Xenopus tropicalis: one gene and its partner. The protein of the gene in region 1 purifies or fractionates together with the protein of each later gene. This does not show direct contact. Links are inferred from orthologs where the notes say so. Each region holds a gene or a part of one and is shown on either strand. Other genes may lie near its edges.

Region 1 (17,257 bases):
ATCGGCACCCTCCCAAAAATCCAGAATTGTCAAACAATACAATGGCACTCAGGGCTACAAAAGGGACTAGCCCTTAATTCCAATTTTTTATTGCGGTAGTGCAACGTTTCGGGGCAACACAACCCCTTTATCAAGCATGCTTGATAAAGGGGTTGTGTTGCCCCGAAACGTTGCACTACCGCAATAAAAAATTGGAATTAAGGGCTAGTCCCTTTTGTAGCCCTGAGTGCCATTGTATTGTTTGACAATTCTGGATTTTTGCAGTAAGAGCACAGTATGGGGGATCAAACACTGCAATAAACACAGTTATTATACAATTATACACAGTTAGAAAAGATTAAGTGCCATATGTCAAGTAATAGTTGGGGAAAAGATCCTTGTCCCATAGAACTTACAGTCTAAATAAGTGGGTAAACTATGTTTTTTTAAACTGAAACTGATTTGATTTTTGAAACATTTTTCTAGAATTTACACGTCCATCTTCACGTGGTCCCCTGAGAAATGTTAAAGCGGGGTTCTACTGTGGTTATAATGTCAGCCATTCCTTTAGCACATAAATATATTATACTCCGAAAATCACATGTTGCAGATGGCACTCACTGCTAGGGGGTAACCTGTAAATACCCATTATTGCTACACAAATAACACAAAACATAGTCATATTAGCAAAAGGTTTTTTCAACACAAATTAGCATAACCCTTTTTTGTGACCATATCATTATTTGCCTTTGCGGGATCCTTGAAACTGTTCAGGAGCAGTTTGGGGCTGAATTCCATGTGTATCATAAAGAAACTTTGGACTGTGCATAAGGAGCATTCAATGTGCATAAGTGCAAAGGACACATATATTCAAGCCTCTTCTATTGGGAGTGCTTAAGGGATCATTGATGGTTCTTTAATAAATGAGCTGAAGCAGTAAATCATTTCAAAATGGAAAGTTTTAGAAAACCATAAATGTGATGAATAGAACTTGGTCAGAACACAATCATTAATCAAGTCGGTATTCCTGAGGCACAGATGCAATTCCTTATTCCATTTTGGTTCTTGAAAATCAGTTTTTTATTAGCTTTGCAACCACTCCTGAGAAGAAAATGTAACTTTCACTTTCTGTTTTTGAGTTGCTTTTTTGTTAAGGTAACTGCCCAAAGCTCAACAGGCATTGGCTATCTCACCCTTAGTAACATTCCGCCATCCTTTAGATCTGAATGTTCTCAACGACGGGCCTGCATGACCGATATCTGGCCTGAAATTGGCCAGATATTGATTGGGAGAGTTAAAAAATTTAGTCGGATCGGGGACCACATTGGCTCGTTGATGCGGTCCCCGATCCGACTTCTCCTATACCCGTCGTTCTAATTTGATCGTTTGGCCCCAGGGCCAAACAACCGAATTAGCCTGGATTCGCCCGATATCGCCCACCCGATGTCGTCAAGCGAGCAAATCTGAAGATGTATGGCCACCTTAAGGCCAGGCTCTGTTCTACCATTAGCCTCAAAACTCATGCTCTTGTATAAATAACCTTTGATCCCAGCCTTACAGAAAAACCCTCATGTACATTTGCAAGCAATCTCCAAATCTCTCTGCTGTTGATACACTCAGTCATTCCATTTGGGCAGGCTTTTTGCATCTAACTGAAGGCAAAAGAAGCCAAAAAAGACGGTGACAATGAGCTTCTTCAGAAATACCCTGGGGTTGTGCAGTTTTAGTGAACAGGAGCACCGGAGCCCGGGTATTGGGCAAACAGTTATAATCACTGAGGGATGCCTAACATTTCATACCAGTTTCTCTAGTGGTTTTCATTTCCCCCCAGTTATTATATTTCTTACTCCCTCTCCACCCAAAGTACATATCCCATTTTTCTTCACCCCCCTTCTCTCCTGACCTTCTTATATCTCCCCCCCAGTTGGAAGGAACAATCTATAATGCGTTATCCCAAACCCAAACTCTCACCCACAACTACACTATCAATGCAAATGGATGGAACTCACCTTGGGAAAGGACAGCCTTGTTGCAAGAATTCAAAGCTAAAAAGATACAGGTTGCGCTGATCCAGGAGACACATTACAAGACCAATCAGATACCGAAATGCTATGACAAATCTGATTCCACTATCATACACAGCCCCCCACAATCTACAAAAGTCAGAGGCACAGCCATTGTCCCCACTAATAACTTACAATTAGAGATTAGAGCTGCCAAAACAGACCCTCAGGGAAACGACACATTTCTCAAAGGGAAACTGAACTCCCTTACGTACACATTTGCCTCAATCTACCTACCTGACACAGAGCAGACTGATATCATGAATAAGATCCATGATTTGCTGCTTCTGTTTGCGGAATTGATGGTAATAGTATGGGGGGATTTCAACACCCCACTCGAACCCAATCTAGACTGCTCCTCTGGAACATCATCCCTCCCATTGAAACAAATTAAAAGGCTTAAACAACAACTACATTGGCTTCAACTACTAGATAGCCGGAGAACTCTCCATCCCCAAGATAAAAATGGCTCCTTCTATTCACATAGCCATGACACATATAACAGAATCGACTATATATTTATCTCACAAAGCACTAGATAGTACCCAAAAGGAAACAATAGGCTCCATTACATGGCCAGATCATGCCCCAGTAGGCTAACATTAGAACCCCTTCTCTCAACTATCCGAAACAATCCAAACATTCAGGGCATCAAGGCAGGAACTTCCCATTGCAAAATTTGTGCCTATGCTGACGATCCACTCTTTACTCTTACTCAACCTACCAGCACGTTACCCAGCCATACCTTTGTCAAGGAGAATTCTAGTTTGTACCATTTCAATCCCTATATATATATATATATATATATATATATATATATATATATAATAGAAAGAGTGCCGCACACATAGGGACTTGATACAAAAGAAAAAGTGGTTTTATTGAAAAAATTGCAACGTTTCGAGCACAATCTGTGCTCTTCCTCGGGGACAAACCAACAGACCATATCCCAACACCCACAGTGTGGTGGGGGTATTTACTGTGAGTGTTTTTGACCTGCACCAAGGGCATTTGGACTTGTATAGGGTGTGCTCCTCCCTGTATACTAATTTATATATATATATATATATATTGCTTACTTACATTTCCTCCAAGAAGCGTGCAGATATTCTCCCAATAATGTTTTTACAAGATACTTTTTTTCATGTGTCGTGACATCACTTTGCCACATTAGCGCCACCTAGAACAGTATATTTATTCTGCAGAAAGCATTACCATACCTGAGTAAACAGCCCTAGAAGCTCCTTCCAATTGTTTAAGATGGCAGTTGCCTTTTTAGCTCGATCTCCATAGCTTTCTGCTACAGCTTTAGCTGTTGGTAGCTCAGATGGGAGGGGGGGTGAATTCTTATGGGAGGGGGAAGAGAAGGGAGAGAGGATAGAACTGTGCAGACTCAGTGTCCGGGAATGAAGGATTTTTCTGATAGAGGAAGTCTTATTCTAAAGAACATAATTACAAAAAGGAGACAAGAAATCCCATGTTTCTTTTGATAGAGGACTCAGTGCAGCATTACTGTGAGTGCTTATGGCTATATTTACATAGACCTTTAAAGCTTTAAACATGGAAAAATCACAATTAATAAGCACATAAACAATAATAACATCTTAAAAATACCCCAAGACAATATCTCCATGTAATAAATGAGCAAGCATTGGATATATGAGTTTATTCGATTTAGAAGAACAAAATCAAATTTACTTAAAAACTGATAAATAAGCCCATTAATATAATGAAGACCAGCTTTTGAATCCGGTGTTTTAGAACTTATCATACTTACATACCTTTCGATCCACTCATGCTCCTGCTTTTCTAACAGATTTGCTCAAAGCTTGCACCAACTGATCCTTTAGATTATTTGTCCCTTATTAACCAAGATGGATTTTCGGGGAAAATGTATGCCAATATCTGCTAACACTCAGTATGAGGCAAGTAAACCGCATTTAAGTGTGAAATTTGAATATATCTTTAGAATGTCGTTGCTCACATTAAAAGGGATAAAAATTAATATTCAGAAAATGTTCTGCAACACTGCAGTTTCCCTTTTTTATTTAACAGCTTCTGTTGCAATCCTAGCATTGCGGAAGGGACAAGAGGCCTGTGAATCAGCGTTTGCAACATGCTGAGATGTATTCCCTTTGCAGGAGTCCATGGAAAGGAGGAACTGATTGCATCCCAAGCCAGGACTAATCCCCCAAACTGTAAGTATAGCAATAGGAAAAAGATGTGGGCTCCTTTTCTGTATACAATAGAGGAGTACATGTTACAGGGAAAAGGTTTTCATTGTTCAAACAGTGACTGATGCAGGATATGGTATCTAAATATTAATGTAAAATTAATGTAAACAAGAGCCCAGGGCCTGATGAAATACAAGCTCAAGGGCCTGGGGTACTTGTAGACAAGGTGCTGTCCTCTATTAAAAGGTGTGTAGATTCATGGGAAGAGAGGGCAGCACCTTGTCTACAAGTACCCCAGGTCCTTTCTTAACTTTATCTCATTTAGGGTAAAAGCTGCTTGGATATTTTTGTATCATGCATAACCTGACACCTAGCACTTGGCTACTCAGTCTATCAGTGTGTCCTGATTCCCCTGCAAGAATGAGTGTGTGTAGATTCATGGGAAGAGAGGGTCATACTCCATCTATACAAAGCTCTGGTAAGGCCCCATAAAATAGAAAGTGCAGTTTTGGTCTCCACTCCCTAAAAAGGATATTAAAGGAGACATATCCTATAAAAATTATGAATGTATCAGTGAATTATACTCCTCTAGATATAGAAGGATTGTGTTTAAAAATGTTGTGTGTAACGCTTTTCTGACCCAATTTGGAATAAACCCAGGCTAGTAGTGAATAGAGAGCATGGGTTACATTCGCGACACTTAATACAAAGGGGTGAGCCTCCGCTATATGGGAGAATCAGGATGGAGCGAGGGTGTAGTGGAACTACAACTAGCTGAGGTGTGTAGTGCAAATAGAGAATAATGGACGCCAGAGGATTCTTGCTTATGAACTATAGTACAATTTATTGGACAAAGGCACAACTTTATAGTGCAGCAGGGTATACTCACAGACACAGCAGTGTATGATGTCACAGATAGTACAGCAGATGTGACACTTTAGGCACAGAATAACCCACTTGGAGGATGCACAGAGGATTAGTTGACACCTGAGATATAGACCTTTCAGAAGGGAGTGTTCCGGCCGACTGTGGTCCAGGGGAGAGCTCCTAACACTGGTACCTGGCGTCTAATAAAACCGGTCCCTAAAGAACGACTACAGAGCCGGGGTGGACTAAACCCTTTGTTACAACTCCTGGTTGGGGCTATAGACTGCCCTTACTAAATAACCTGACTACAATCACCTCTCCTAGAGGGTGCTATAACAAATCTGTCTGTGCTGGCTTAACCTCGTTCACGGGGCCCTGTCCCCGACTTAGCACTAGGGTAGGTGGTCCCCTAGGGTACAAATGGCTTCTGGGCCTATGTTCTGGTCCAGGCTCAGTTGGGATCTGTCCAGAACACAGCATGCAGCCAAAAGAGGAAGCCACTTCCTTGTTCAAGACACTATATAGTCTGCACAAGGGGAGTGGTCAACCTGGGCTAAACCTATAGAGGGCAGCCTAATAACAGTAACCTGATATCAGAGGGCTCTGCCCTATAACAATACAGATAAGATAAGAATAAGGGATAACACCATAGGGAGCTTAACCCTATGGGTCCCTACATGTGTTTCAGACTGATTTATTGAGAAATTCCACAAAAACCCCACTCGTCCCGCCCATCTGTTCCACTTCCTGCTGGCAGAATTCTCTGAATGAGCTGGGGAGCCGGCGGCCCTCCGTACACTGCACTGTAGGATAGGAACCAATCAGCAGCTAGGCTGACCTGATAGGGAACTGAAGCCTGTCTGTGCTTGTGTGACTGCAGGGCTGTGATTGGCTCTCCCCCTCCTACTGTGCTTCTGGCAGGGACCGTTAGGACACGCCCACTCTTCATTTCACACTGGATGAAGAAGTGAGAGGATCTATAGGGAGCTCCAATAAAGGGGCCATTTTTACAGATAGGATTAATGTTTAGCCCAAAGGGAAACCAGCACCGATTATTATTTATAATTGCCTACAAAAATAGCGTTCTTACAATTTATCCAATATGTTTCCTTTAATGAACTAGGGAAAGTCCAAAGAAGAGCAACTAAGCTAATTAGGGAACGGAGGGTCTCAAGTACGAGAGAAGGTTGATCTAAGTTTGGATTTTTCAAGCTAGAAAAAAGGTGCTTAAGCGGGGTATGATATGTATGTATTCATATATAAGGGCGCCATACAATAACTCTCTGATGCTTTATTCACCAGTTGCTCTCCAGCAAAGTGGGAGAGGCTTCAGATGGTGACTGATAATTAAGCAGATGGATCAACTATCAGGCAGGCAAGTTTCACTGAGGCAATACAGTTGAACTTGATGGACATGTATGTATGTATGAGTGTGTATAACCTTACAGTGGTACTTATAGCCCTACCGTGGTATGTATGAGCAATTAGCAGTATGTATGTTCATTAACCAGCTCATCTACAGACAACTTGCTTTGGTAAACCCCCTCTGATAAATGCCACTGTTTGCAAATAAACAACTGCTTCATTTCCAGCAACTATTGTCTGACACACTCATGCACTGGTGATTGCACCTCTACCAACACATCCAAGAAACTGATCTGTTGCTCATTTACCTCGGCCTTTTGTCCTGGGAACTGGGAGAAGAAAGCATATGGGCCTCATCTGTGTCAATCAAAATGTGAGCCTTTACAGAATCCATATAACTAACAATGATGAAACTGTAGGCAGATATATTGCCTATGTCTGTGTTGTGGTGCTAAAGGCCATTCGGCTTGTATGGGCAATGCTATTTAATGCAGGAAACTGCACAGTGTCTCTTGATGCCCGTTCCAATCTCCTTATCAGTTCTCCTATACTTTATGGACCTCCCCTTCACCTTGTTGCTCCATTTTCTTTGTTGTCATTCCCAAAGAAGATCACCATGCATGTTCTATCAAGGGACAAGGCATACAGTCTCCTGACAGTTGAACCCTGTATGTAAAGGTATCTAAGCTACCCACTGGGCAGAGGATGGATGGGGGGCATATAACCTATATTAAAGGCAAACTCAACCCAAACACAGCTTTTTGCAAACTAAACTTAATTTCAAGCAGCCTTTGCAATATACATACATTAAAAAATACGCAGACATGGTTGTTAATGTATAAATATGGTTTGGAACAGTTCCCTAAGCCCCACCCCCTGTTGCCCTGCTGATCTGGCTGACTACTTTGAGACTCAAATAAAATGCAACAGTAGTCGCCTGTCCTCAGCCTGCCTTCAGCCTGCATCCTCCCAATCCCACAATTCCCTGCACGTGATGTCAATAAGGAAAGGAACATCTCAGTGCAATGCATTGTGGGTTGTGTAGTTCCTGCATGCTGTCTGTAAGCTGTGGAGGAGTTGTTACAATTTGTAACTTCAATGCTTTAGTCCCTCCTCCCCTGCCAGGATTTGAGATGATGCAGAAAGAAAAGAACTGTTTTGCAGCTCGATTTCAGCATATAAAAATTTTATTTATTCATACTTTCTGAAGGAATAGGTTACAGTAATAGGGATATTAGGGGTTTCTGTGTTGTATGAGGCTTTTTAACAAATTTTGGTTTGGAGGCCGGAGTTCCAGTTCAACTGTTGCTGGAATAATAACTAAAAAAGTTAAAATATGTTATAAAAGGGGGTTACTGTGCACAATGTAAAATATATGTCAGCATTTACTTCCTTTTATTGTTGTAATGGTTTCCTATGAAGAAATGGAACATTTAATTCACTTAGTGGAGAGAGAAGTAAGGCCTCAGATGTATCATGAAGTCTATTATCCAGATTCTCTCTTCTCCAGGAGCGGTAAAGTCCAACTGAATGATGTTACTGAGAATGCTGGGAGTATTAGTTCACAGCCGGGGAGCTGGGTTTTTTACATTTTTCTTTTAGAGGAAGAAACACTTTCGAAAGCAGAAGAAATGAGAGAAGAATCAGTGTCAGTAGGTGGCTGGGACTGGGCACTTCTATGGGTCACGTTGAGATGTCGGTGCGGCTCATAAATCTGATGGGGAAAGAAAGTATATCCCTGTGCTTGTTTCTGTGTAAGTGGATATGAGGAGTGATATGAGCTGTATGATAACATTCTATAATCTACACAAAAGGGGAAGTCGCTTCATGCAAAGGATAATAATTAAGCCCTGTGACTCTGCACTTTGCTACATGCAACATCGGTGTTGGCGTTAAAAAATGGTGAGTTCTTGCACAATTTTCTTTTTTTAGCCCTAAAATTGCTACAAAGCTGCCAGTGGGGTTATATTTCTGCTGAATGTTGTGCTTCTAGGGAAACTGTACAGCATAGCGCAGAGCGGGCAGGGACTGGCACCTAGAGCTGCACAGTTTCCCCACTGAATTATTTCTTCCCAAGTGCAGCTATTCATGCCTTTTATTGTCAGATTGTCAGACTGATAACTCCTAGTAGGATTCTGTGAGATGAAAGGGTTTGTCTGATTTATTGGGGCTGTTGTGTCCTAAATGATGGGGACTTTAGATTGACATTTAGTCATTTGGAACAGAAACATTATATGGTACCTAGGATTCCTCTTAGCAACCAGGCGGTGGTTTGAATGAGAGACTGTATATGCTTAGCAGGTCAGCGGGTGTGAACAGAAAGACAAATCATATAAAATATTAGTAGTAGTACAGGTATGGGACCCTTTATCCAGAATGCTTGGGGTCTTTCCGTACTTTGGATCTCCATATCTTTAGTCTAGTAAAATATCATTTTAACATTAAATAAACCCAATAGGATTTTTGGCATTCAGTATAGATGGGATCAGGTACAGGTACTGTTTTATTATTACAGAGAAAAGGGAATAATTTAACCATTAAATAAACCCAATAGGGCTGTTCTGCCCCCAATAAGGGGTAATTATATCTTAGTTGGGATCAAGTACAGGTACTGTTTTATTATTACAGAGAAAAGGGAATCATTTAACCATGAAATAAACCCAATAGGGCTGTTCTGCCCCCAATAAGGGGTAATTATATCTTAGTTGGGATCAAGTACAGGTACTGTTTTATTATTACAGAGAAAAGGGAATCATTTAACCATGAAATAAACCCAATAGGGCTGTTCTGCCCCCAATAAGGGGTAATTATATCTTAGTTGGGATCAAGTACAGGTACTGTTTTATTATTACAGAGAAAAGGGAATCATTTAACCAATAAATAAACCCAATAGGACTGTTCTGCCCCCAATAAGGGGTAATTATATCTTAGTTGGGATCAAGTACAGGTACTGTTTTATTATTACAGAGAAAAGGGAATCATTTAACCATTAAATAAACCCAATAGGGCTGTTCTGCCCCCAATAAGGGGTAATTATATCTTAGTTGGGATCAAGTACAGGTACTGTTTTATTATTACAGAGAAAAGGGAATCATTTAACCATTAAATAAACCCAATAGGGCTGTTCTGCCCCCAATAAGGGGTAATTATATCTTAGTTGGGATCAAGTACAGGTACTGTTTTATTATTACAGAGAAAAGGGAATCATTTAACCATGAAATAAACCCAATAGGGCTGTTCTGCCCCCAATAAGGGGTAATTATATCTTAGTTGGGATCAAGTACAGGTACTGTTTTATTATTACAGAGAAAAAGGGAATCAATTTTAAAAATTTGAATAGTTTGATTAAATGGACTCTATGGGAGACGGCCTTCCTCTAATTCAGAGCTTTGTGGATAACGTGTTTCAGGATAAAAGATCTCATACCTGTAGTTATTTTTAAATAATAATAAATCTTCTGTCAGGATCAAAATCTTTAATATATTATATTGATATGTTTTTTCTCACATGCATGTAGAATGCAATAGGTAAATGCATATAAACTAGATATATAATTCATTGCCATATAGTTTGCAGCCAACAGATTTTGGCTAAAGCCGGCCATACACAGGAGTTCTTTCATACAATTATTGGTACATGTAAAGGGGTTCATCACTTCCAGCCGATATCCAACTCTGTGCATATTGGTTTAAAGATGGAACACATTTGAAGATGTCATTGGTTGATAAACCATTTTTTGGTATAAGGTTGGCTTCTTGTCCCGTGTTCAATCTATAAATGTCAGTGGGTGTAACCAGGGTCAGACACAGTCAGTATAGGGGGGGGGGGGGGGGCATTGTGCTGAAATTGTGAAAGAGCCCACTAGTCATTGACCCAACAACATATACATTTGCCCTCTGTACACTGTATTCTTTAAATAAAAGAAAATTAATGGGTTGTTTACATGAGTGCCCTCGTGTTATTGCGCCAGATATATATCCAGCCCCGGATGGAAATGTATTTAGGGACAGAAACTTCTGCTTAAACTGTAAGCTGTATGATACATATGTAATCTGCATTCTTTTGGGAGACAGGTTTCCATGAGCTATATGCTTATCAGAAAAATGAAAGTGATTTAGTATTCTTATATGGCTTTATCTTATAGCTGCATGTCAGAGTCCACTTAATGTGTTACTGGCAAAGTGCTATTCCACTTATTTTAACTGCCACAATACACATCTTCTAATGTTATTACTGTATGTTTTCTCAGAGTTTATTATCCCCCTGCTATCCCACAGCCACATTCCCTTCCCAGAGGTTATTATCCCCCCACTGCTACTATAGGCACCATCTCTCCCTACTATACCTGCTATCCCACAGCCCCAGTCCCTTCCCAGAGGCTATTATCCCCCCACTGCTACTATAGGCACCATCTCTCCCTACTATACCTGCTATCCCACAGCCCCAATCCCTTCCCAGAGGCTATTATCCCCCCACTGCTACTATAGGCACCATCTCTCCCTACTATACCTGCTATCCCACAGCCACAGTCCCTTCCCAGAGGCCATTAATTATTGCATTGCTACTATAGGCATTGCTATGGGGAAGTTCTCAAAGAACTAAAAGAAGACTCACAAATTGATCCCTGCAGTTGTGCTAAAGACAGATCGGCCCGTGACTGTGTCCAAAACTGTATAAATTTAATCTGATGGGGTGAATTCTCAAAAAGTGGTATATAAAAGTTCCATTTAACTAGTAAACTGCAGCAAGACGTAAGTTCAAGTCAAATTGCAGTTAATCAGTAGCTTGTATAGAGTGAAACTGCAAACTGAGATGGTGACACCTTCATAAAAGCAAATATAAATATAGATTTAGACATTAACACTTCCTTTCCTAACATTCCTTTAAAATGCAGCAATTTTTAATAGCTTACTACTGCTCTGAAGCTGCCAGATAGGCTCTGTAGTCTCCTCTGTACTGCAGTCAGGAGCAATTACCTTTAGTCAAGGTACCTGATAGCTGAGCCCTACCCACCGTCAGATCAAGGAGCAAAAGAGCATTTAGGCTGAGCCTGTATCGGTCGAAAGTCAGAGTCTGCCTGTGTTATTGGGTCTATTGAGATGGGACTGTGTAACGTTAAATCTCCTATGAAACAAGTAGAATAAGGAAGAGTCTAAAAATAAAACAACTTAATAAAAGCGTAATAATTATAATCATGTTCATAAATCAGAAATATCAATCCAAAATAATGCTCTTTTGGGATATTTATTTATTCTAATTCTAAGCTGGAACATATAAATACAGATAGCTATAATAAAAGGCTAGCCTAGGCCTTCTCTCTTTACATGCCTATTTGGACTTTTATATTCGTTAATATTATACTTGAGCCATGGTTTGCATAATTATATTTGTATGCAAATATCCACTTAGAAGGAACTAGAGGTTTTTTTTTTTAGTTTTTTTGGGAACAGTAGAAAGTCTGTTCTTAGAGCAAGAATATTCTGCAATAAATTCCCCACTGTGAAAGAGGAAGAAGCCTGAAGACTTGCTGATGCCCCAATCTTCTCTATCTTCCTGTCTGCTCTTTTCTCTCCGGCGATGGAATGTGCATTGTAGATTTGCTCGGTGCAGTTAAGCAGAATGATCTCAACTAAAAAGAAAATTATATTATAATACAGTTCTAAATATAACAATAAAATACATAAATGGGATTAGGTGGTAAAAGTCACTAAGTTTGCCCAGGAGCAGTAACCCATAGGAACCAATCAGCAGGCAGAATTTACTGGTCACCTGTTAAATTAAATCAATAGTCAGAATGTAATTTCAACATAGGCCCTCTTTATTGTGTTCATTTTTAGCAAAGGTGTTTTTAGGCGTTTACAGCCCCTTTCAAGGGATACTGTCATCATTTTTATGGTGTACTTTCTAAATGACACTTTACATAGCAAATAATTCACTCTGCCATTTAAAATGCTATTCTTGAACCAACAAATGTATTTGTAGCTGTAATATTGGTGTGTAGGCGCCATCTCAGTGCATTGTGCCTGAGTCTGAGCTTTCAGCCAGCGCTACACATTAGAACTGCTTTCAGCTAACCTATTGTTTCTCCTACTCCCATGTAACTGGAGGAGTCCCAAGCCGGACTTGGATTTCTTACTATTGAGTGCTATTCTGATACCTACTGGGAGCTGCTATCTTGCTCCCTTCCCATTGTTCTGCTGATCGGCTGCTGGGGGGGGGGTATCACTCCAACTTGCAGCGCAGCAGTAAAGTGTGAGTGAAGTTTATCAGAGCACAGGTCACATGCTGTGGCACCCTGGGACGAAATGAAGAATACGGCTAGCCCCATGGGAAATATAGGTACAATAACAAATACTAAATGGGAACTTGATGGAAACCAATGAAAAAGCTAGAGCCTCCTTAGTGTTCCAGCTCCTAACTGCATTCACAATTCCATTCAGATCACCTTCCTAGGAACTGCTCAAGGGCAAGATAAGTGCAAAACTGCATGAAGGGTAATTGAGGTTAAATAAAGAAAAGCAATGATGCCACGAGTCCCAACCAACCAGAAGCTGTTTGTTTGCACACCTTGGACTGAACCCAAGAGCAGGCTAATAATGCTAGCGAAGGTTGCGGCACAATATGATTGGCTACTAAATAAAGCACATGAGGGCTCATTTATATTTGCAAGCGCAGGGATCAAAGCACAAAGAGAGTATTTTGACGCAACTACCTTTAAAGGGATACTGTCATGATTTTTATGGGGTACTTTTTATTTCTAAATTATACTGTTTACATGGCAAATAATTCCCTCTACCATTTAAACTTTTATTCTTGAACCAACAAATGTATTTGTAGCTGTAATATTGGTGTGTAGGTGCCATCTCAGTGCATTGTGCCTGAGTCTGAGCTTTCAGAAGGAGCCAGCGCTACACATTAGAACTGCTTTCAGCTAACCTATTGTTTCTCCTACTCCCATGTAACTGGAGGAGTCCCAAGCCGGACTTGGATTTCTTACTATTGAGTGCTATTCTGATACCTACTGGGAGCTGCTATCTTGCCCCTTCCCATTGTTCTGCTGATCGGCTGCTGGGGGGGAGATATCACTCCAACTTGCAGCGCAGCAGTAAAGTGTGACTGACGTTTATCAGAGCACAGGTCACATGGCTGTGGCACCCTGGGAAATGAAGAATATGGCTAGCCCCATGTGAAATTTCAAAATTAAATGAAAAAAAATCTGTTTGTGTTTTTGAAAAACAGATTACAATGCAGGATTCTGCTGGAAAAGCTCTATTAACTGATGTTTTCCTATGACAGTATTCCTTTCATGAATCATTTAATGAATGGGGTTTAGTGTGGAAATAGTGCTGAAGCATGCGAGCGGTAGTATATGACCCTTAAGGTATTGTTCAAGTGTAGGGAATAATACCAAAAACACATCCATACATTATAACTCGCTGACATACACACATGACATTGATCAAAAGTCCTTTCAGCCTTAAGGGTGAAGACACACAGAGCTACTTAGTAGCAGCTACTTGTCACAGCTACTCCAGAAAATAGACAATACTGAGAATTGCCTCTGCTAAAACACATGTAGAGACAATTATCAGTAAATGATCAGCTTTGTCTATTTTAGTAGCAGTTACAAGTAGCAGCTACTAGTAGCTCCGTGTGTATTCACCCTTAGAAACAGCAGCATCATGTGACTAGCCAATCACTTGGTAACACATAATCATTCATGAGACTTCAAGCAGATAAACATGTTGCTACATAGCAGCCTAGTACAATTCTGCCCAACAGGCCAGTGACTACCACCATGTTATGCAGCCCATACTGACCAGGCTACCTCCAGTACAGGTATGGGATCCGTTATCCAGAAACCCCTTTATCCAGAAAGTTCTGAATTATGGAATGGCCGTCTCTCCCATAGACTCCATTATAAGCAAATAATTCTAATTTTTGAAAATGATTTTCTTTTTTCTCTGTAATAATAAAACAGTACCTGTACTTGATCCCAACTAAGATATAATTACCCCTTATTGGGGGCAGAACAGCCCTATTGGGTTTATTTCATGGTTAAATGATTCCCTTTTCTCTGTAATAATAAACCAGTACCTGTACTTGATCCCAACTAAGATATAATTACCCCTTATTGGGGCAGAACAGCCCTATTGGGTTTATTTAATGGTTAAATGATTCCCTTTTCTCTGTAATAATAAAACAGTACTTGTACTTGATCCCAACTAAGATATAATTACCCCTTATTGGGGCAGAACAGCCCTATTGGGTTTATTTCATGTTTAAATTATTCCCTTTTCTCTGTAATAATAAAACAGTACCTGTACTTGATCCCAACTAAGATATAATTACCCCTTATTGGGGGCAGAACAGCCCTATTGGGTTTATTTAATGGTTAAATGATTCCCTTTTCTCTGTAATAATAAAACAGTACCTGTACTTGATCCCAACTAAGATATAATTACCCCTTATTGGGGGCAGAACAAGCCTATTGGGTTGATCCATTATTTAAATGATTTTTAGCAGACTTAAGGTATGGAGATCCAAACTACAGAAAGATGCCTTATCTGGAAAACCCCAGGTCCCGAGCATTCTGGATAATATGTCCCATACCTGTACATCAAAATCTACAATTATAAATATATGAATGCGCTTAAATACGAGCACAATGAAGTATTAGTGAAACAGAATATAGAAGTCTCCATACAGGCCCGGACTGGCAATCTGTGGATTGTGGCAAATGCCAGAAGGGCTGCTGTAAGACAGTCAGTATTTATTGGGCCTGTGGGGGGCTGTTTGGGCCTCTGTGTACTTGCAATGCCAGGGCCTATAGTGAACCCCAGTCCGGGCCTGACCTATAGCCTCGTATGCAGGGAAGATTCCTCGTTGATTTACAAGTGTGCAAGTTCTGCTTGAGTTCTCTTTTTCCGTGCAAAATGTGACACTTAATTAACAGCACTCACAGATGGGGGAGGGGGGAAAGCCTCCAGCGTATGAAGAAATATTCCTGTAATAAAGGGGTTAATCAGATCTGTGAATTGAACAATGTTCCTCAGGTTTCACTTTCAGCTTCCTTTTTAAAAGCCAGTTCCTTATTCCTCCTCTACCCGTATTCTCATATGTGAGAGCGAGTTTCCTAATCGGCAAGTTTATCCGGCGTCGTTACAATGTGACTGTCATTGCACCAGGGTTACACCGTGTATTCGCCACTTTGCCCCCCGTACTGAATAGGTGAGTAAACATCACCCCACGGGGTTTCTGTCCTTGGTTGTGTGTGTGTGTCCCCAGAATGGGTGCAACTGCTACTGTAACATAAGGAGAATATGGTATTTGTGCAATAGCTTGTTATACAGTAACGGGGCAGTAACCTATAGCAAGCTGCTAGTGTAATGACAGCAAACATTTGATTGGTTGTTGCAGGTTAGGGGGCAAACACTGCCCCCTAACACACTGTTTTGGTATAGTTTCAGAATGGGACCTCCAGAATCCTCAGGACTCGGGGTGTTCCAGATAAGGAGTCTTCCCCCTACTTTATGTCATTATATCCTACTTTGGGATCAAGTTCCAGGAAATGTTTTATTATTACAGTGAAAAAGGAAATCATTTTCAAACATGTGAATTATTTGATAAAAATGAAGTCTCTGGGAGATGGCCTTCCCATAATTCTGAGCTTTCTGAATCATAGGATTCCGGATAATGGATCCTATACTTGTACAAGCATAAATATCCATAAAAAATGGAACCCAAAGTGAATGTGGCTCATCAACTCATGAAAAAGGTTGGGGATCCCTGTAAGCCCCCACATCTGTAGCAGCCAGTTGTCTTTAGCAAATAACCCTTCCTAGATCATACCGTAGAAACCATGATGGAAACTGAAAACAGGATCACTAAGGACCACAAAGGTATCACATGAATAATTTACAAAAAATGGTGTATTCTCATTTTATTCACATTTGAATTAGTCGGACCGACTATGACTCCAAGTCACCATTCCACACAAAAGTGAGATTGTCTATATAGTGATATAATGTAATTAATGTAAATGTAATTACAAAGTGGCGGTATGGATTAGCACCAACGCCCCATAAAAAGATTGGCATTGGATGGAGCCAAACGTGGTACCTTTGCCAGCTTTTCTGAGGAAGTAGAGAATAAATCTAAATTAGATGCAGTACTGAATCTCAGGTTAACAATTACTTAGATCTAACCAAAACATAATGGCTGCCAAACCATTCCCATATCAACAATGAGTCAACAAACACGCCCATGGTTAGCCACCTATACTATAGGTTAATCTCTATTCTGTAGTGTTCAACTTTTTAATAGAATCAATGCTGTCCCTGATATAACTGGGCAATTTCTCAACTCTATGAATAAAATACCCGTCTGCCAACCTTTCATTGAGGGATCTGATGCTAATGGGACATTTTTTGACTTTCTCCTTATGGACCTCAGGAAATCAGTGAAAGACTGGAATAGATGGCGCTAAATTCCAAAGATATTTGTTATCCTCTTCATTCAAAATCATGTTTTAAAGGAGAAGGAATGGTAAAAACTAAGGAAGTGTAACCATCAGAAAGGTCTATGTAAATACAGCCATAAGAACTTACAGTAATGTTGAGTCCTCTATCAAAAGAAACACAGTATTTTTGTCTCTTTTTTTGTAAACATGCTGTTCCAGTGTCTGACTTCCTCTCTCAGAAACATCCTTAATTCCCAGGGCCAGAGTCTGTGCAGTTCTCTCCTCTCTCCTGCTCCCCCTCCTACCAGAATGCTAAGAACTCCTCCCCCCCTCCCTAGGGAAGCTAC
Region 2 (16,697 bases), on another chromosome or scaffold:
CAGCGTGGAATTATGGAAAATTTAACCAACCAGCTTTAGTGTTTTTAGAATATAGTGCGCATTCAATGAAAAGTTCAAGATATTGCATCATTTCATTGTAATTTTTGAAACTCTAACTGGGGATGATAAAGAGCCCTTCCCTGTATCACCTTGACACTTGAATTTCCATGCGCTATATCTCCATTCCCCTACTTTATGCACACTGCAATAAAGGAGCCACAGAGCTGAGGCTTAACTACCTTATGGGCGACTAACAGAAACTTTCCATCAGTTCCAATAATCCTTGATGTTTGGGCAGTATGGTGGAAAATGGCCAAACTGCCCTACCGAGTATCTATGGTCAGCGTTACACTACAAAATGTAGTGTAATGGAAATTTTTACAAATTTCAACAAATGGGGGGTTAAGAACCTTTAACTGATTAAGACTAGGATCTCGGCACAATGAGGGCTGCCAGCACATGATGATATTTTTTTTTTCTGCCATTTTCTTATAATTTACATTAACTTCATACAGAATTAAACATAGCTTAATGGACTGCTAAATTATGATTATTTTTGACTATATATATTTGAGGCCCCCATTTCTGTTTCCTTGTAACTGGAAATGCAGTGAAGCACTCTGAAAGCAGAAGTTAGCATTCATGATCCACATAGATCGCATTGCAATAAAACCAAAAATGAGAGACTTTAATCCACAAATTGTTCCTTTAAGTTCTTGTGGCCAACAACAATGCATAGTCAAACTCCAGAGAAATTAGAAGAATAGTTAACGCTAAACTAGTACTTCACGAATTGATAATAAAAATAAAAGGGTTTTGTTTAGAAAGCATTTGTTTCATTGAGGCAGCAAAATCAAAAAACAACATTGATATGGGTGAGAGACTGGAAAGCTGGTGGCAGAAGGTTGTAGCATCCCATTTAGAATAGCCTGGGAGTATTTTGTTTTTGTGAGCGGAATCAGGGATTTTGGTAATATTAAGGAAAATGCTATAGGGAAACAATATCATGCAAAGCTACTAACCCCCAATTGATTATCTATTTATCTTACTTGCAGAACAAACATAAATGAAGGTACCTCCTGTCCTCTGAGTCCGGTCCCCAGCATGTATAGGCCATTTGTCTGGTCCTGTCGAATCTGAATGTTGTAAACCTTGTTTCTGTATAACACCATTAGAACATATGGATGTGAAGCCGTTGACTTGGAGCTGTTTCTCACCAAAAATGTTCCATCCTGTAACAGATAGTGAACAGAAGTGACCAAATTCATAGCTACAAGTACACTGAAAGTTCATTTTTCTTCAGAATGAAGATTTTCCCATTGCCTCTTACTCCCAGATTACTAAACAGACATCCAATGAGAGTTCAGATGAGTTCAGTTGGCAGTTGTTGCAAGGTCCCATGTGCTCATAACAGGCAGTATAGATCTGCTTTTGATGAATTAAGTGCAAGCCCTGCATCAATAGGTGCAGAACACGTGCACCAAAAGAATAGGGCGCACATGTCACATGCAGGCTGAACACCAGAAATTATGCCAGAAATATTTGGCACAACTGCACCCAGTGTGTCCAATTTGGTTAATCGGACACAAATGTGGTAGGCGTAATTGCATCAAGAGAATCATCTGTTTGGGTGCAAAATGTTGCTGGGATTCTGCATTGTGGGAAAACACATGGCTATTGCACTTGAAATTGCACTTTGCACTCTGCACCCAGGGTTCCACATCATTTGTTGGCCAGCTTTTGCAAAGTTCCCTGCAGTTGCACCTTTATATCACATTGTATAAAAATGGGGTTATATATATCTGTTTCATAGACAAGCAATCTACCCTAAAGAGTTGATTTCCTGTTACCTTGTGAATGAAAATGGATACATCTGGAATAACTTACTTAGAGAGAGAGAATACTTATGGAGCTATTCTTTCGAATGAAAGCTGAAGAGAACCAGCAGAAGGGAGTCACCAAAGGTCTGCTTTCTCTTTTCTGGAGTAGATCCATTCCAAGAAACATGTTTAAAGGAACAGTTCAGTATAAAAATAAAACTGGGTAAAATAGACTGCACAAAATAAAAAATATTTTTTATATAGTTAGTTAGCCAAAAATGTAATCTATAAAGGCTGGAGTGGACAGATGTCTAACATAATAGCCAGAACTCTACTTCCTGTTTACAGCTCTCTAGTCTCTTAGTTAGTCAGTGACTTTAGGGGGGCCACATGGAACATAACTGTTCAGTTAGTTTGTGAGCACACAGGTCAGATTCAGAAGCAAACTAACTGAACAGTTATGTCCCATATGACCCCCTCTCAAGTCACTGATTGGTTACTGGATGCTAACAGCTTAGACTTAGAGAGCTGTAAAGGAGGAAGAAGTGTTCTGGCTACTATGTTAGAAATCTTCCCACTCCAGCCTTTATTGATTACATTTTTTCCTAACTAACTGTATTGAAAACATTTTTTATTTTGTGCAGTTACTCAGTTTTATTTTTACACTGAACTGTTCCTTTAAGCTGCTGCTGGTTAACTATGCTTTTTTCAGTTTTTTTTTTTTTTTTACTATTCCTTGTCTGTCTTCAACCACTACCAGGAAACAGTTGTTCGTTCATTACTTTTGTCAGCCTATCTCACTGGCCATATACCTAGCCATATACCACATACCAGAAGTATGATACTTTGCCACCATGACCATACTCTGTTTGTCAGAATCCCCAAAACTAAGTGGTAGATAAAGGTGCAGGCAGCAAAACAGATTGTAGAATGAAATGAAAGGGTATTTATTTACCTAAATGAAATGGTTTAAGATTGCATACCCAATAGCAATGGCTAGCCACACTGTTTGGGAACTACTTCCCTGTGAGAAATGGCACACAGTTGCATACAATTTGGGTGGGATGCTGGGCCAATTTTTGGTGAACTTTAAACAGCTAATCCTGCTATAAATAAAAAAAGTAATTACTAAAAAAAATAAAAAAAATTACAAAAAATGTAATTCATTCATATAACCACATCTATAAAGGCCAAACTGACATAAATTAAGCATATGCCTTCTTTACATTTTCTTTATACAGGTTATAAAATAAAAGTATCTTCACCAGGTGTTATTATATCATGAAATGGTAGAACTGATTATCTACTTGGTTGTTTTTTCTTACCTGATTGATTGATCTTAGGGCTGTTTCAGCTTCTGATCTTGAAATATTGCCAGTATACCACTGGTCTTGAGACAGGCTCTAGTATATTAAATTACATTGGTTAAGTGTTCCCCACAGTAATGAAAACATTTAAATGCAAGAATTATTTGAAATCGTGCAAAAATATTAATACAAAGTAAACACTTTTTTTTACATAACTATATGTTTCTGCTAAGATGGATAAAGATGCATTAAAAGATTACATGTTTTACTGTGGTTACTGAAACCACATGTGAGTTCCTGAACTCCAAGCCAATTACCTCGGACTGCTGATCATTTTTTTACCCGAGTATTTTTTTTTCAAAAAAATAAAAAGCTTGGCAGGTTTTAGGTAACCTCGGCAGGTTAAACTCATACATCTGTAACCTATTGCTCAAGCCCTAAGGCCCACTCATTAATAAATCTACCACCACCCTTAATTAAAAGGGTGAAACCTTGCTCTTGCAACATCAAATATAAGGCAGAAGCCTATTTTTTCCTCTTAGTATTGCCTTTATTATTTATATTTGAACGACGTCCCTTATTAAATGGATTAAGGCTGTCTGGACTTAAAAATGGAGGCAGGGGAGCTTTGACTGGGTTAGGCAGGCTTAGGAAGAAGAGGGTTAACTGGAAGAGTGAGGGTGGGGGGGAGGAGTCAGTGAGCGAGGAAGGAGCAGGAGTTTGGCCAGAAGCCTCACTTTGTCTCTGGCAGCAGTGGGTAGCAGCATCCCAGGAGCCAAGAGATACAATCTGTAGTTCATGGTGGGTATATACAGTAGTAGCAGTTTAGTTGGCAGGGGAATGCTTGTAGGAGTGGGGAATGGAGGAGGTATCCCCCCCCCCCATCCTGTAGAGTTGGTTGTGACCTCCCTGGTTATGGTGCTGGGACAAAAGGGTTTGAGCGAGGCTTACTTGCTTCTACTTGCCCATCCATGTGCAGCAGCACAGGGATGGCTGGCATGGCGGGGGGCCCATTCACTCAGTGGAGTACTATGGGCAGTGTCGGACTGGCCCACCAGGATACCAGGAAAACTCCCGGTGGGCCCAGTTGTCAGTGGGCCCTCCTGCTCCTGAGCATTTGGCCTACTTCATGGCCATTCCCTATTTCTGTATGGGAACAAAGAGGAAAAATAGATGGAAGGATAGATGCTAGCATGTAAGTAAACATAATAGGAGAATAAAGATGTTGAGTGAGGAAAGAAGGAAAAATATTTTGGAAAGTGGGCCAATAGTCTATGGTTTTCTGTTGGGCCCCTGGGGTCCCAGTCCGACACTGACTATGGGCAAGCATTCAGCATTTCATTTGTACCAGCTGATACATTATATAGCTTTAAGAAGGGGCTGGATTGCTGAGGTAATTCCAATATTTACAATGGGTTTATAATATCAACTTGGCAATCATAGGTCAGTAGGTTTGGCAACTGTAGTGCTAAAGTTATTGGTATCATGCATAGTTTTATTAAGATGAGATCATGCATTTGACATTTGTACTTAGAATTTCTGATGGGGTAAAGCTTTTGATCTACATCACTATTTGCTTTCTGGATTTTGTAGAAATGGTCTCTAGTTTTACATGATCTGGTTACCTTACACTAGATTAGTGTATTAGTTATCATCACTGTAATAATATGTAGTATAAATGCTACAGGACAAGACATCTCCTGTTTGATCCAACTTGCAATCAAAATTTAAAAGGGATTCTTTACTTTTTCCTCAGTGTGCTGTGTGTTTCTCACTATGCTTCACTGATCTGCCCATACTTGTCCATACTAGGCAAGTGATGAAATTAAATATCAGGGTTTCTGGAATAAATATGGAAACATGAACTTTCATTGCTATTATGCGTGCTGTGAGTCTGGGCTGGTAACAGTGAGCTGAAAACACAAAGTAAGGATTTCTAGCCTACTTTTTTAGTTGACCTTTAAGGGAACACAACAAGTGGAAACTAAGTACAGGTATGGAACCCATTATCCAGAGTGCTCAGGACCTGGGGTTTCCAGATAAGGGATCTTTCCAAAATTTGGATTTCCATTCCTTAAGTCTACTAAAAGATAATTTACACATTAAATAAACCCAATATGATTGTATTGCATCCAATAAGGATTAATTATATCTTAGTTGGGATCAAGTACATGGTATTGTTTTATTATTACAGAGAAAAAGGAATTCATTTTTAAAAATTAGAATTATTTGCTTATAATGGAGTCTATGGGAGATGGCCTTCCTGTAATTTGGAACTTTCTGGATAATGGGTTTCCGGATAATGGATCCCATACCTGTACCTCTACCTTATTTCATGTATATAACTAAATTCTGCCATATAACTAAATGATGCTATCTGCTGCAAATATGTCTAACTTATTACCTCTTTTTCTGTTGCTGAAGTCTGATTATAGCTGGTAGGAATAGGAGCTGGCGGCCTGCCGTTACATGTTCCTTCTGAGAAAGACCGATTCATATTACCTAAAAGTACCAAGAAAATTACCATGGAACACAGTTCACAGAATGGTCTGAGATAAACATCTCTTTTAAAATAAGGTTAAATTAATTTACACTAGATTACTGTGAATAACAGTATAAAAAGGAGAAGAGTGTGGTACACACTCTAGCATCTAAGTATTAGAAATGTTAATAGTAGCCCTGGCCAGCATCTTAAACATTTGAAATACAAGATAATAATTATCCACATATGGTTGGGTCTGCAGCTGTATTATTAAAGATATACATTCAGATGAAGCATGTTTTCCTGGGACATGTTTATAACTGTGTAATAGATGATCTGCACATTTCTTCTGTCCCTCAGCCTGTTTAACAGATCTTGTTTGTGCTAAGAGACCCTGCCCCTTAATCTTGAAGCTTTGTATCTATTTATAAAGTACTGCTGTGGTTGCCCTATGCAACTTGCCACGGTTTGCCCTATGACTCAGCCAATGCAACTTGCCACGGTAATGTAAGCAAGACCACTGTCCCACTGAACATTGACACAGCTATTTGGCTTCCATTGATATAACTTTCCAATTAACTTTTTAGTCCTGCTATCCTGCAAAAAATGTTTTGGTAGGCCACGAGATACCTTCCGGGCCATTTCTGAATACACTCAGTATCCCTCTTAAGTGGCTTTTGGTTGAGCATAAGTAAAACCTAACAAAATACTAAGAAAATATTGTCTAGCTTTTGATTCAGCTTTATAAAATAATAGGTACATACTTTAGAGTCATTTTAACTTATTGCTGCTGTATTATCTGTATTTATTATTATACTTTGTATTTATCTATTATCTTATTAACACCCTGTTTGTATTAATGTATTCTACTGTACAGCGCTGCGTACATAAGTAGCGCTTTATAAATAAAGATATACATACATACATTTTGAATCTGTATCACCAGTATGTTCTGGCCCAACTTTTTGGGCATTCTCCTGTACTGATATATCATGATATATCGTGGCTGTTTGGGTTTACTAAGAAAACACCTTCAGCTTTCTTTGTGGGGCATGAATATAGTTATGGATATAATCATTTTGGGGACTTGAGTTTGTATTTATACAGCTGTGACAACTCTGTCAGCCTTTACTTGAGGAATCAATGCATAAGTGTTAATATTTAAAAAATAATATATAATACCTTGTTTTACTTACCTGGTTTATGAGGGGGAGGTGCTGGTCCTGGTGGGGATGGACTGTCGATATATATAAACAGATGAAAAAAAGCACATTTCTTAGTTTATTACTCAAGAAATTAAAGGTCTGCTAGCACCAAAAATGAAAATTATTTATTTGATTTGGCATCCCATTTTATTCTACCTTATAAATAAAGAAGTTTTCTTTGATGATTTGTTGGTCATGTATGGAAGATTTAAGGCAAGGTTTGCTGGTACAGGTATGGGACTCGTTATCCAGAATGCTCGGGACCTGGGGCTTTCCAGATAAGGGGTCTTTTCAGATCTCGTACCTTACGTCTACTTAAAAAATTATTTAAACAGTAACTATCCAATAGGATTGTTTTGGCTCCAATAAGGGGTAATTATATCTTAGTTGAAATCAAGTACAAGGTACTGTTTTATTATTACAGAGAAAAAGGAATAATTTAACCATTAAATAAACCCAATAGGATTGTTCTGCCCCCAATAAGGGGTAATTATATCTTAGTTGAGATCAAGTACAAGGTACTGTTTTATTATTACAGAGAAAAGGGAATCATTTAACCATTAAATAAACCCAATAGGATAGTTCTGCCCCCAATAAGGGGTAATTATATCTTAGTTGAGATCAAGTACAAGGTACTGTTTTATTATTACAGAGAAAAGGGAATCATTTAACCATTAAATAAACCCAATAGGATAGTTCTGCCCCCAATAAGGGGTAATTATATCTTAGTTGAGATCAAGTACAGGTACTGTTTTATTATTACAGAGAAAAGGGAATCATTTAACCATTAAATAAACCCAATAGGGCTGTTCCGCCCCCAATAAGGGGTAATTATATCTTAGTTGGGATCAAGTACAAGGTACTGTTTTATTATTACAAAGAAAAAGGAAACAATTTTTAAAAATGTGAATTATTTGATTTAAATGGAGTCTATGGGAGATGGGTTTTCCTTAACTCATAACTTTCTGCATAATGGGTTTCTGGATAAGGGGTCTGATACCTGTATAGGATCTGTTTTCTGAAATGATTGGGATTTGGGCTTTCTGCATAAAGGATTTTTAGGTAATTTATATCTCCATACATTAAGGCTGATTATGCAGCGTAGTTACAATCAAGTAACAGATACTGTTTAATTATTACAGGATGAAGAAAATCATTAAAATAAACCCTATGGGGGATGGCCTCTCTGTAATTCAGGGCTTTCTGGATAATGGATCTCATCACAAAAATTGGGTAAGGAAGTTTTTTAAACTAAATGACAAAATGACACTTAAAAACATACTTAAAAGTACATCATTATTTAAAATGTTCAGCCTTATTGTCACATACCCTTCTGTAACTGGCAATCCAGGAAATGAATTCTTCGCAGACGGCCTTGGAGGAAAAGTATTTGAGGAAAATCCAAGGCCTCCTGGTGGAGGAACTTGCCGCTTAGGTGCTGTTTGTATAAAAAGTACATTCCTTTTAAAGTTAGGTTGCTTAAAGGAAAACTATACCCCCAAACAACGTAGGTCTCTATAAAACTATATTGCATAAACAAGCTCATACTGTATGTAAAACCCCGCTTCATCTAAATAGGCCATTTTCATAAAGATATACTTTTTTAGCAGTATATACTATTGGGTACTCCTAAATAGAAAATTGCCATTTTAAGAATTAAGGGCCGCCTCCTCGGATCATAGGATTCACAGTGCACATAAACAAGCCAAAGCACACATACATGCTAGGCCCCATCAGCCAATAGACAGAGTTCTGTCTTTTACTCCCACACTAATTCCTGTTACAGTTAGAGCTGCATTATTTCCTGTCAGGTGGTCTCTGAGGGAGCACCCAGCCCATCACAACGTGGTGGATCAAGGGAAGTGATGTAAAAGGGCAATATTTACTGATATATATTTATATATATATATATATATATATTCCAGTTTGGCGAGATTCTTTAATAAGTCAACATAATATAAACTATCACTTTAAGTATTCATCCTAGGGGTAAAGTTTTCATGGATTACTACTACTGAATGTCTTAAAACGGATCTATTATGTGCTTGCTGTGTGTATATATATTTTATTAAATCAATTTTTATATCTAATACAATGTAGCTAAACAAATGTAAATGACAAATTATTTCTTCATTTTAGGTTTTAGTGTATATTTATATTATGTCTATCTATTACATTTGGGTGCTTTAAAGTCAGGGGTGAAAAGCAGGGAATGCTGCTAGTGATGATTGAATCTGTCCCATTTTGCTTTGCCTAAAATTTGCAAAGTAAAATTCGCAAAACAGTGAAAAATCCGAGAAACGCGTTTGACACGTGGCTTTTTTGTCACACAAGTCTTTTTTTGTTGCATGCGTTTTTTGGGGTTTTTTTTGCTATTTTGCAGCGACCGTGTCCATTTTGATGCGCCCGTGCTCATTTTGACACGTCCACACCCATTTTTCATATTCAGACAGTTATTTAGTTACACTGTGCATACAAGCAAGACTGTTTGGCTTACCATCTTCTTCTGGCTGCAAAAAACAACAAAACAGGTTATTATTAGTGTTATCGATGCAAAAAACTCAATTACAATTCAGATACAACACATTAACAATGTTTCTGGTGTTTATACTTATATTATAGAGAAAGAGAACGCAATTTCTTTTTTTTATTAAAACACCCATACCTGTTATAAATGTAATTAAAAATACAATAGATGTCACTTCACTCCTCCCATTCCCCCTCCCTCCTGACTGCCTATAATTATGTAGCCAGTAAATGGGCATCAGGTCCCATATTCTGGTACATGCACAGAATTTTGGAATGATACAAAGCTTGCCTTAATAACAGCGCCAACAAAATGGTTCCTGCCTGCTTGTTGTGATTGTGAATTCCAGACTGAAGGAAGCAAGATTTAAGTAATTTATATAATGTAAGTAAAGTTTATTTTGCTCCACTACCATGATAGAAAAGGATTTTAAATTATCACTTAGGGTGACAGGTCCATTTAAAAAAACAATTGATGCAGAAAATTGGATAGTGAGAAAGACAAGGTTTTTTTACACTGATAAAACCAATTCCCTTCTTGATTTCATATTGAATCAGCTGTACATAACAACTGTTACAGTATGTACAGGTATAGGATAATTTATCCAGAATTCTTAGGACCTTGAATATTTTCCAGATAAGGGATCTCTTTCTATTGCTGCTAAAAACATTTAGTCCAATAGGGTTGTGTTGCTACCAATATGGATTCATGGTACTGTTTGTGTATTCAGACCTACTACTTACATTGAATCTTTTGTCCATAGGTAAACTGGGCCTAAAATGAATAATGTAAAGGAAATTAGACTGACAATCTATGTTAAAAAATGTACATAATTCCAATAACTAAAATATAGTAACAATATTATTATCATCATTATTATGCAGTACACTTTTTTTTCAAATTAAATCTCCTACTTTACAGCTGAAAAAAATGGATTTTGTCACTGATCCTGGCCATGTAAAATCCCCAAATAGGATGATTCCATTTTTTTAACCATTTTTTTAAAAATAAATACTGAATACAAAGAGCAAAACAAACAGTTTTGGGAGATTTATCATTGCAAAAACATGCCACAACCAATTCCGTATACTGTACCTTGGACTCGGTATTCTCCTTTCAAATGGCTGATTGTTTCTTTCAATGGGAACGGGGGGTTTTATAAGATTTGATAATTTTTCAGATGCCTGTTGACTAAAACAGACATAAATATTCAGCAAAAGCCACTGCAGTCACATTTTGCCTGGAACAATCCAGTTACTTACCTGATACCTGCATGTCCAGTCTGAATCTAGGTTAAGGAAAAACAAGTGCAACAATTATACATGTAGCCATCCTCAAACTGAGTTTTCTTAATCACAGATCAAGATTAGTTAATGAATACCCTGGATCTTCAGTTCATACAAACTGGAAGCTAACAAGAGGCATCACTATCATTTCTTTGTTTTCGTATGTTTAAAGGTGTTGATCACCAATATTTTTAGATAAGTAAGTCCGATTTTTTGTGCCTATGTTGAACAAAGTATAGATATGCATATAATTCCTCTTTAAAGGAGAAGGAAAGGTAAAAACTAAGTAAGCTTTATCAGTAAGCTCTCTCCCCTCTCCTGCTTCCTCTCCCACCAGAATGCTAAGAACTCCCTCGCCCCTCCCTTAGGAATGTGTGATCTCAGCTATAACGGCTAGACTGCAGGCAGGAAGCTACTAGAAATGGCAGCTTCTAAAGCAGTTTACTCAGGTATGGTAGAATAAATATATTGTTCTAGGTGGCGCTAATGTGGCAAATCTACTGGCAGTACAATTCCAAAATGACTTTCCTTCTCCTTTAACAAGCCCACAGCAAAACAGGAGCTTCCTCTACAAATGGGGTTAGCTGTGCATCTTGGTACACAAACTGCAGTGTGGCTTTAGAGAGGGTGGGGTTGTGCCTTGCAAAATAATTACAATTAAGGAACTGTATTGCATCTGCAAATTCTATATTAATCACTGTGTATAATTAGAAAGCCAAGGACTTTTGATAAAAAATAATGTAGGACCAGTAGTATAAACCTGAAATTCCCTTGGCTTGTGGATCTGACAAATATACACTGCTCAAAAAAATTAAGGGAACACTTAAACAACACAATGTAACGCCAAGTCAATCACACGTCTGTGAAATCAAACTGTCCACTTAGGTAGCAACACTGATTGACAATCAATTTCACATGCTGTTGTGCAAATGAAATAGACAGGTGGAAATTATAGGCAATTTGCAAGACATCCCCAATAAAGGAGTGGTTCTGCAGGTGGTGACCACAGACCACTTCTCAGTTCCTATGCTTTCTGACTGAAGTTTTGGTCACCTTTGAATGCTGGGGGTACTTTCACTCTAGTGGTAGCAGGAACAAAGATTGGCAAATTCGCCACTGGCGCCCTGTGCTCTTCACAGATGAAAGCAGGTTCACACTGAGCACATGTGACAGATGTGACAGATGGCGATGAGCGAATTTTTTCGCCAGGCATGGATTTGCAGCGAATTTCCGCATTTCGCCACTGGCGAATTGTTTAGCAAAATTTCTGTGAATATTTGATGCGGAAAAATTCATTGCGCGTCAAAAAGGGTACGGTCACGTAAAAAAAGGTCTTGTTTGCGTAGAACAAGGGCGCAGTCGCATCAAAACGGGCCTGGCCACGTCAAAAAAGTGTGGGCGACAAAAAAATATACACGGGCGACAAAAAAATTGAATTTTTCGCCTTTTCACGAATTTTCTTGCCGTTTCACGAATTTTATGGCGAAGCAAAACGGGACAGATTCGCTCATCAGTAGTGACAGAGTCTGGAGATGCCGTGGAGAACATTTTGCCTGCAACATCCTCCAGCATGACCAGTTTGGCAGTGGGTCAGTAATGGTGTGGGGTGGCATTTCTTTGGGAGACCTCACAGCCCTCCATGTGCTCGCCAGAGGTAGCCTGACTGCCATTAGGTACCGAGATGAGATCCTTAGACCCCTTGTGGCACCATATGCTGGTGCGGTTAGCCCTGGGTTCCTCCTAATACAAGACAATGCTAGACTTCATGTGGCTGGAGTGTGTCAGCAGTTCCTGCAAGACGAAGGCATTGATGCTATGGACTGGCCCGCCGGTTCCCCAGACCTGAATCCAATTGAGCACATCTGGGACATCATGTCTCGCTCTATCCACCAACACCACGTTGCACCCCTGACTGTCCAGGAGTTGGTGGATGCTTTAGTCCAGGTCTGGGAGGAGATCCCTCAGGAGACCATTCGCCACCTCATCAGGAGCATGCCCAGGCATTGTAGGGAGGTCATACAGGCACGTGGAGGCCACACACACACTACTGAGCCTCATTTTGATTTGTTTTAAGAACATTACATCAAAGTTGGATCAGCCTGTAGTGTTTTTTTCCACTTTAATTTTGGACTCCAAATCCAGACCTCCATGGGTTGATAAAGTTGATTTCCATTGATAATTTTTGTGTGATTTTGTTGTCAGCACATTCAACTAAGAATATTTAATTTATTCAGATCTAGGATGTCTTATTTTTGTGTTCCCTTTATTTTTTTGAGCAGTGTATGTTACCTCAGATGCCCCAGCTTTACCATCTCTGCTCTACTACTACTTTTTCCCCCTCTCCTGGACAGGTCTCCTTGCCTTCTTTTGCCTCTGAACCTTTACACAGAACCTGTCCATTGGTATGTTCTGTTCTTAAGGCAATTCTTGCAAACTGCAGTTTTCATTGACCCTACTTTCCTTACTTTGCATACTTTCCATATCTCATGCAACTATGTGTAATTCATCAGGCTGCACTAGCAATATAACAACAAGCTGTATGTAGCATGTATGTGTGCAAATAACTTTGCTAAATAGCAGCTAAGTGAATACACCTGCTAATAGCACCTCAATTTGCACTTTGTAGTTGTGCTTACTTACTCCTTTTTGTGTAAATAAGCCCTCATATGTTTATATTTATTAGAAAGGGCAAGTGGGCAAGCCACTTTTTATCACATCATATTTTGATTGAGTAATATAAAAGCAAAATTCCTTTCCAGCTTAAAACACAAAACAGCTTTTCAACTATGATACAGTATCTATAACAAAGTTAAAAATTATTTTATTTTAAAGTTATTTTTTTACCTTTCCTGGAATAGGTGGTTTCCCTGAAAAAGTGAGAGAAGGAGAGAGAAGGGATAATAGCAATTAATATAGTAATAATATAGTGTGTAAACAGTGCAATGCAGAACATTACTTTGTGCACTTGACAAAAACTACATTATTACTTTTTTTTATTAAAATAAAGTTGCAGATATGTGCATACAGGGGAGACTACTGTTACAGGGGGCAGTAGAATGTATTCCAGTCCCTTGTAATATAAGCATGTCAGGACAACATGAGAATGAGACAGAACTAATGGAAACAAAACTCTTTCAGGAATCTACTGTGCACTTCAGTGCAAATCACCAGTATAATAGATCACCCTGATACACTGTCCTGAGACTACAACATATGTATGATGTAGAGGGTGATATTCTGAAACAATCTGCAATTATTTAGCTTCTTGTTAAACTCCAGATTTTAATTTAATTGCCTGGCTGATGGGTTCTAAATTACCCTAGCAACCAGTCAGCAATTTGAAAGAGAGACTGGAATTTGAATAGGAGAGTGACTCAAAAGAAAGAAAAACAATGAACAGTGACAATAACAATAGTTGTTTGGCTGCCTGAGTCAGTGACACACATCTAAAGCTGGAAAGAGTCAAAATAAGCCAGTAAATAATTTAAAAACTATACAAATTGATAATTTGCTAAGAATTTGCCATTCTATAACATACTAAAAGTTAGATTAATGGTGAACCACCCCTTTAATTGAAGTTTATACTTAAATTTGCCAAGGACGGGCATGGATTTGCAGTGAATTTCCGCATTTCGCCATTGGCGAATTGTTTTGCGAAACTTCTGTGAAAATTCGCCTTGGAAAAATTAGTTGCGTGTAAATTTGTTTTGCCACGCGTCAAATTGGTCGCGGCAAAAAAGCGCGGGTGACAAAAAAAATAGACGCGGGCGACAAAAAAAAAAATAGACACGGGTGACAAAATATAGCCGCTGGCGAAAAAAGGCGCGGGCGACAAAAAAAATCGTGCGACAAATGCGTTTCGCAAATTTTTCACCATTTCTCAAATTTTCTTGCCGATACCTCTTCCAACATTTGGCGGATAGGTCATTTCAAAACTTGGCTTGATTGTACGATCAATGCTTGGACCGAGTGCTTCAAAAAACAGTTAAAAAGAATATAATGAACAAAACAAATGAGACCAGACCAAATGTATAGTAAATATTATTATAGCAAATGAACACAGATACATAAAATACTCACTATTCGCTCTGTTTTCTTGATTTGATGAGGGTGAATACCCAGGAAACTGATACAACAAACAAAAACAATAAGAAAAAGTTTCCCTTTTACTATGTCTCTGTATGTAACTGCTTATGTTAGATAAATATTTGCCATCTTTGGATATCAATATTAATTGCGGGAAGCACAGAGATATTAAAACATTCTAATTTCATTACTGGATTGCCCCCTGATAGTTTGTATGAATTGGTGGAAGCATGGGGAATACTGTCGTTGCATTTTGGGTCAGCTGATGGTCATCATTCAACCTTGTTATGTTTTTGGTTTATCAGCTTTGGTACAATTGCACTGAAGGTTGATTTGCCAAGTCAGCAATTTCTAGGCATCTCTTTCGGACAATAGATCTTAGAATGGAATCAGAAATAGAAAATATACATGCCTGGTCAGGGTCCTAAATCCATTGCTGGGTTGAATACTAATGGGGGTATGTAATAAAAGGCACTAAGTCTGCCCTGGAGCTACCCATAGCAACCAATCAGCAGGTAGAATTTACTGGTCACCTCTTTAAAAGCAAACAACAAACATTTTATTGGTTGCTATGGGTTACTGCTACTGGACAATAAACCCAATATGGGGGTAAGACTACAATATGTCCATTTTCCACCTTCTTGCATCCAGACAATAAATAATGTCCCTTCTTTACCTGCATTAAAATTTAAATATTAAAATTTACATTTAAAAATATTAAGACAACACTGCAGAGACAGTTTTTTATTGGGTTTAATCTAAATATATTCATATATTATTTTCATTTTTTTAGGTCAACAAACAACTTACAGTATGTCCCCTGTTTGGTGGAAGTCCTGGATTCCCCGGCCTCTTTGGGGGCTCTGGAGGATTTTTGGTAGAATTTCCAAACTCTCTGTCTAAATATTCAAAAGAAATATTTAATAATTAGAAATGTTTATTAACTCAAAACTTCAGAATGTCTAACAATAATATGGTCATACATATAAAACAGGAGCTTGGCTTGAAGCCTTGCTTGCATATTAAGCACCTTTCCATCGATAAACATTTAGGGGGAGATTCAGTAAGACCCGAACGCTGGAGCATTCATACGAACGCTCCGAGCGTATTCTCGCTGTTTTTTCCGCGTGCCCGCATAAAAAATTCGGAAAGGCTCTGCCGCTGTTTCCAATGGACAGTACGAAAATTTTGTGACTTTCGGATCGTCAATACGATATTATCGTGAGTAATATGATTTTTTCGTAAGCATTTTCGGGATATTTGAGATCTTTAGAAATTTTTGTTTCCAATCCGAATTTTTCCCATTCGTGATTCAAATTTGTGGATTAGTAAATCTGCCCCTTAGAGTATATTTAATTTTTTTTTAAAATAATAAAGCATATTTTTCCAGATTTTTTTCCAAATTTTTAGAAGTGTTAATTGTATGTAAATTGAGTTTATGGGTTTATGGTAATTAGAAAGGTACACAATGTACCTAATTTACCTGCATAGGGGGAGTTAGTTACATTTGGCTTTAATTGAAATATGGGAGGATGAGCATCTTCAATATTGGGAGGAGGTGGCTCATAATCTCCATTTTCATTTTCATCCTCTTCATTTTCTGATGCTGGGCGTTCATAGTCATCATCATCAAACTCATTGGGACTTTCATAATCCTCCTCCTGTTCATATGTACATTAAATATGGATATAAAATTAGTAATCAGTTGGATATAAATGACATTTTCACATACTGAGAAACCATTGCCCTATACCTTGCCAATACATACTTCAAAAACTGCAAGTAGTGAATGGTAGTGATAAGCAAATCTGTCACATTTGCAAAACTGCTTAAAAATGTGTGTAATGGTAAAGAAATTTGGGAAACATGGCTTCCACACCACTTGATGCACACAACTTTTTCCTTATTTGTCTGTGACTTTTTTTTTTTACACCACGACTTATTTTGATGCATTGACCAGATTATAGGTTTAGGCCATGACCAA

Evidence for each region.
Region 2: the proteins of fyb1 (region 1) and lcp2 purify together in Homo sapiens (co-immunoprecipitation; 6 studies listed by BioGRID and IntAct, with this or other methods). This does not show direct contact. The link is inferred for Xenopus tropicalis from reciprocal best matches to the Homo sapiens genes FYB1 and LCP2.

Annotation. Positions count from the first base shown.
Region 1 is NC_030677.2:196,898,387-196,915,643, forward strand, and holds the start of fyb1 (FYN-binding protein 1), read left to right. Parts: upstream 1-8,061; 5' UTR 8,062-8,347; coding exon 8,348-8,350; intron 8,351-15,554; exon of another isoform or gene 15,555-15,679; intron 15,680-17,257. UniProt on the Homo sapiens protein: Acts as an adapter protein of the FYN and LCP2 signaling cascades in T-cells. May play a role in linking T-cell signaling to remodeling of the actin cytoskeleton. Modulates the expression of IL2. Involved in platelet activation.
Region 2 is NC_030679.2:32,340,389-32,357,085, reverse strand, and holds part of lcp2 (lymphocyte cytosolic protein 2), read right to left. Parts: intron 16,375-16,697; coding exon 16,197-16,374; intron 15,613-16,196; coding exon 15,524-15,612; intron 14,754-15,523; coding exon 14,708-14,753; intron 14,600-14,707; coding exon 14,528-14,599; intron 13,495-14,527; coding exon 13,472-13,494; intron 10,630-13,471; coding exon 10,604-10,629; intron 10,533-10,603; coding exon 10,437-10,532; intron 10,116-10,436; coding exon 10,085-10,115; intron 9,325-10,084; coding exon 9,312-9,324; intron 8,253-9,311; coding exon 8,144-8,252; intron 6,847-8,143; coding exon 6,806-6,846; intron 5,630-6,805; coding exon 5,532-5,629; intron 3,224-5,531; coding exon 3,146-3,223; intron 1,233-3,145; coding exon 1,077-1,232; intron 1-1,076. UniProt on the Homo sapiens protein: Adapter protein primarily involved in signaling pathways within T-cells, as well as other immune cells such as platelets, mast cells, and natural killer (NK) cells.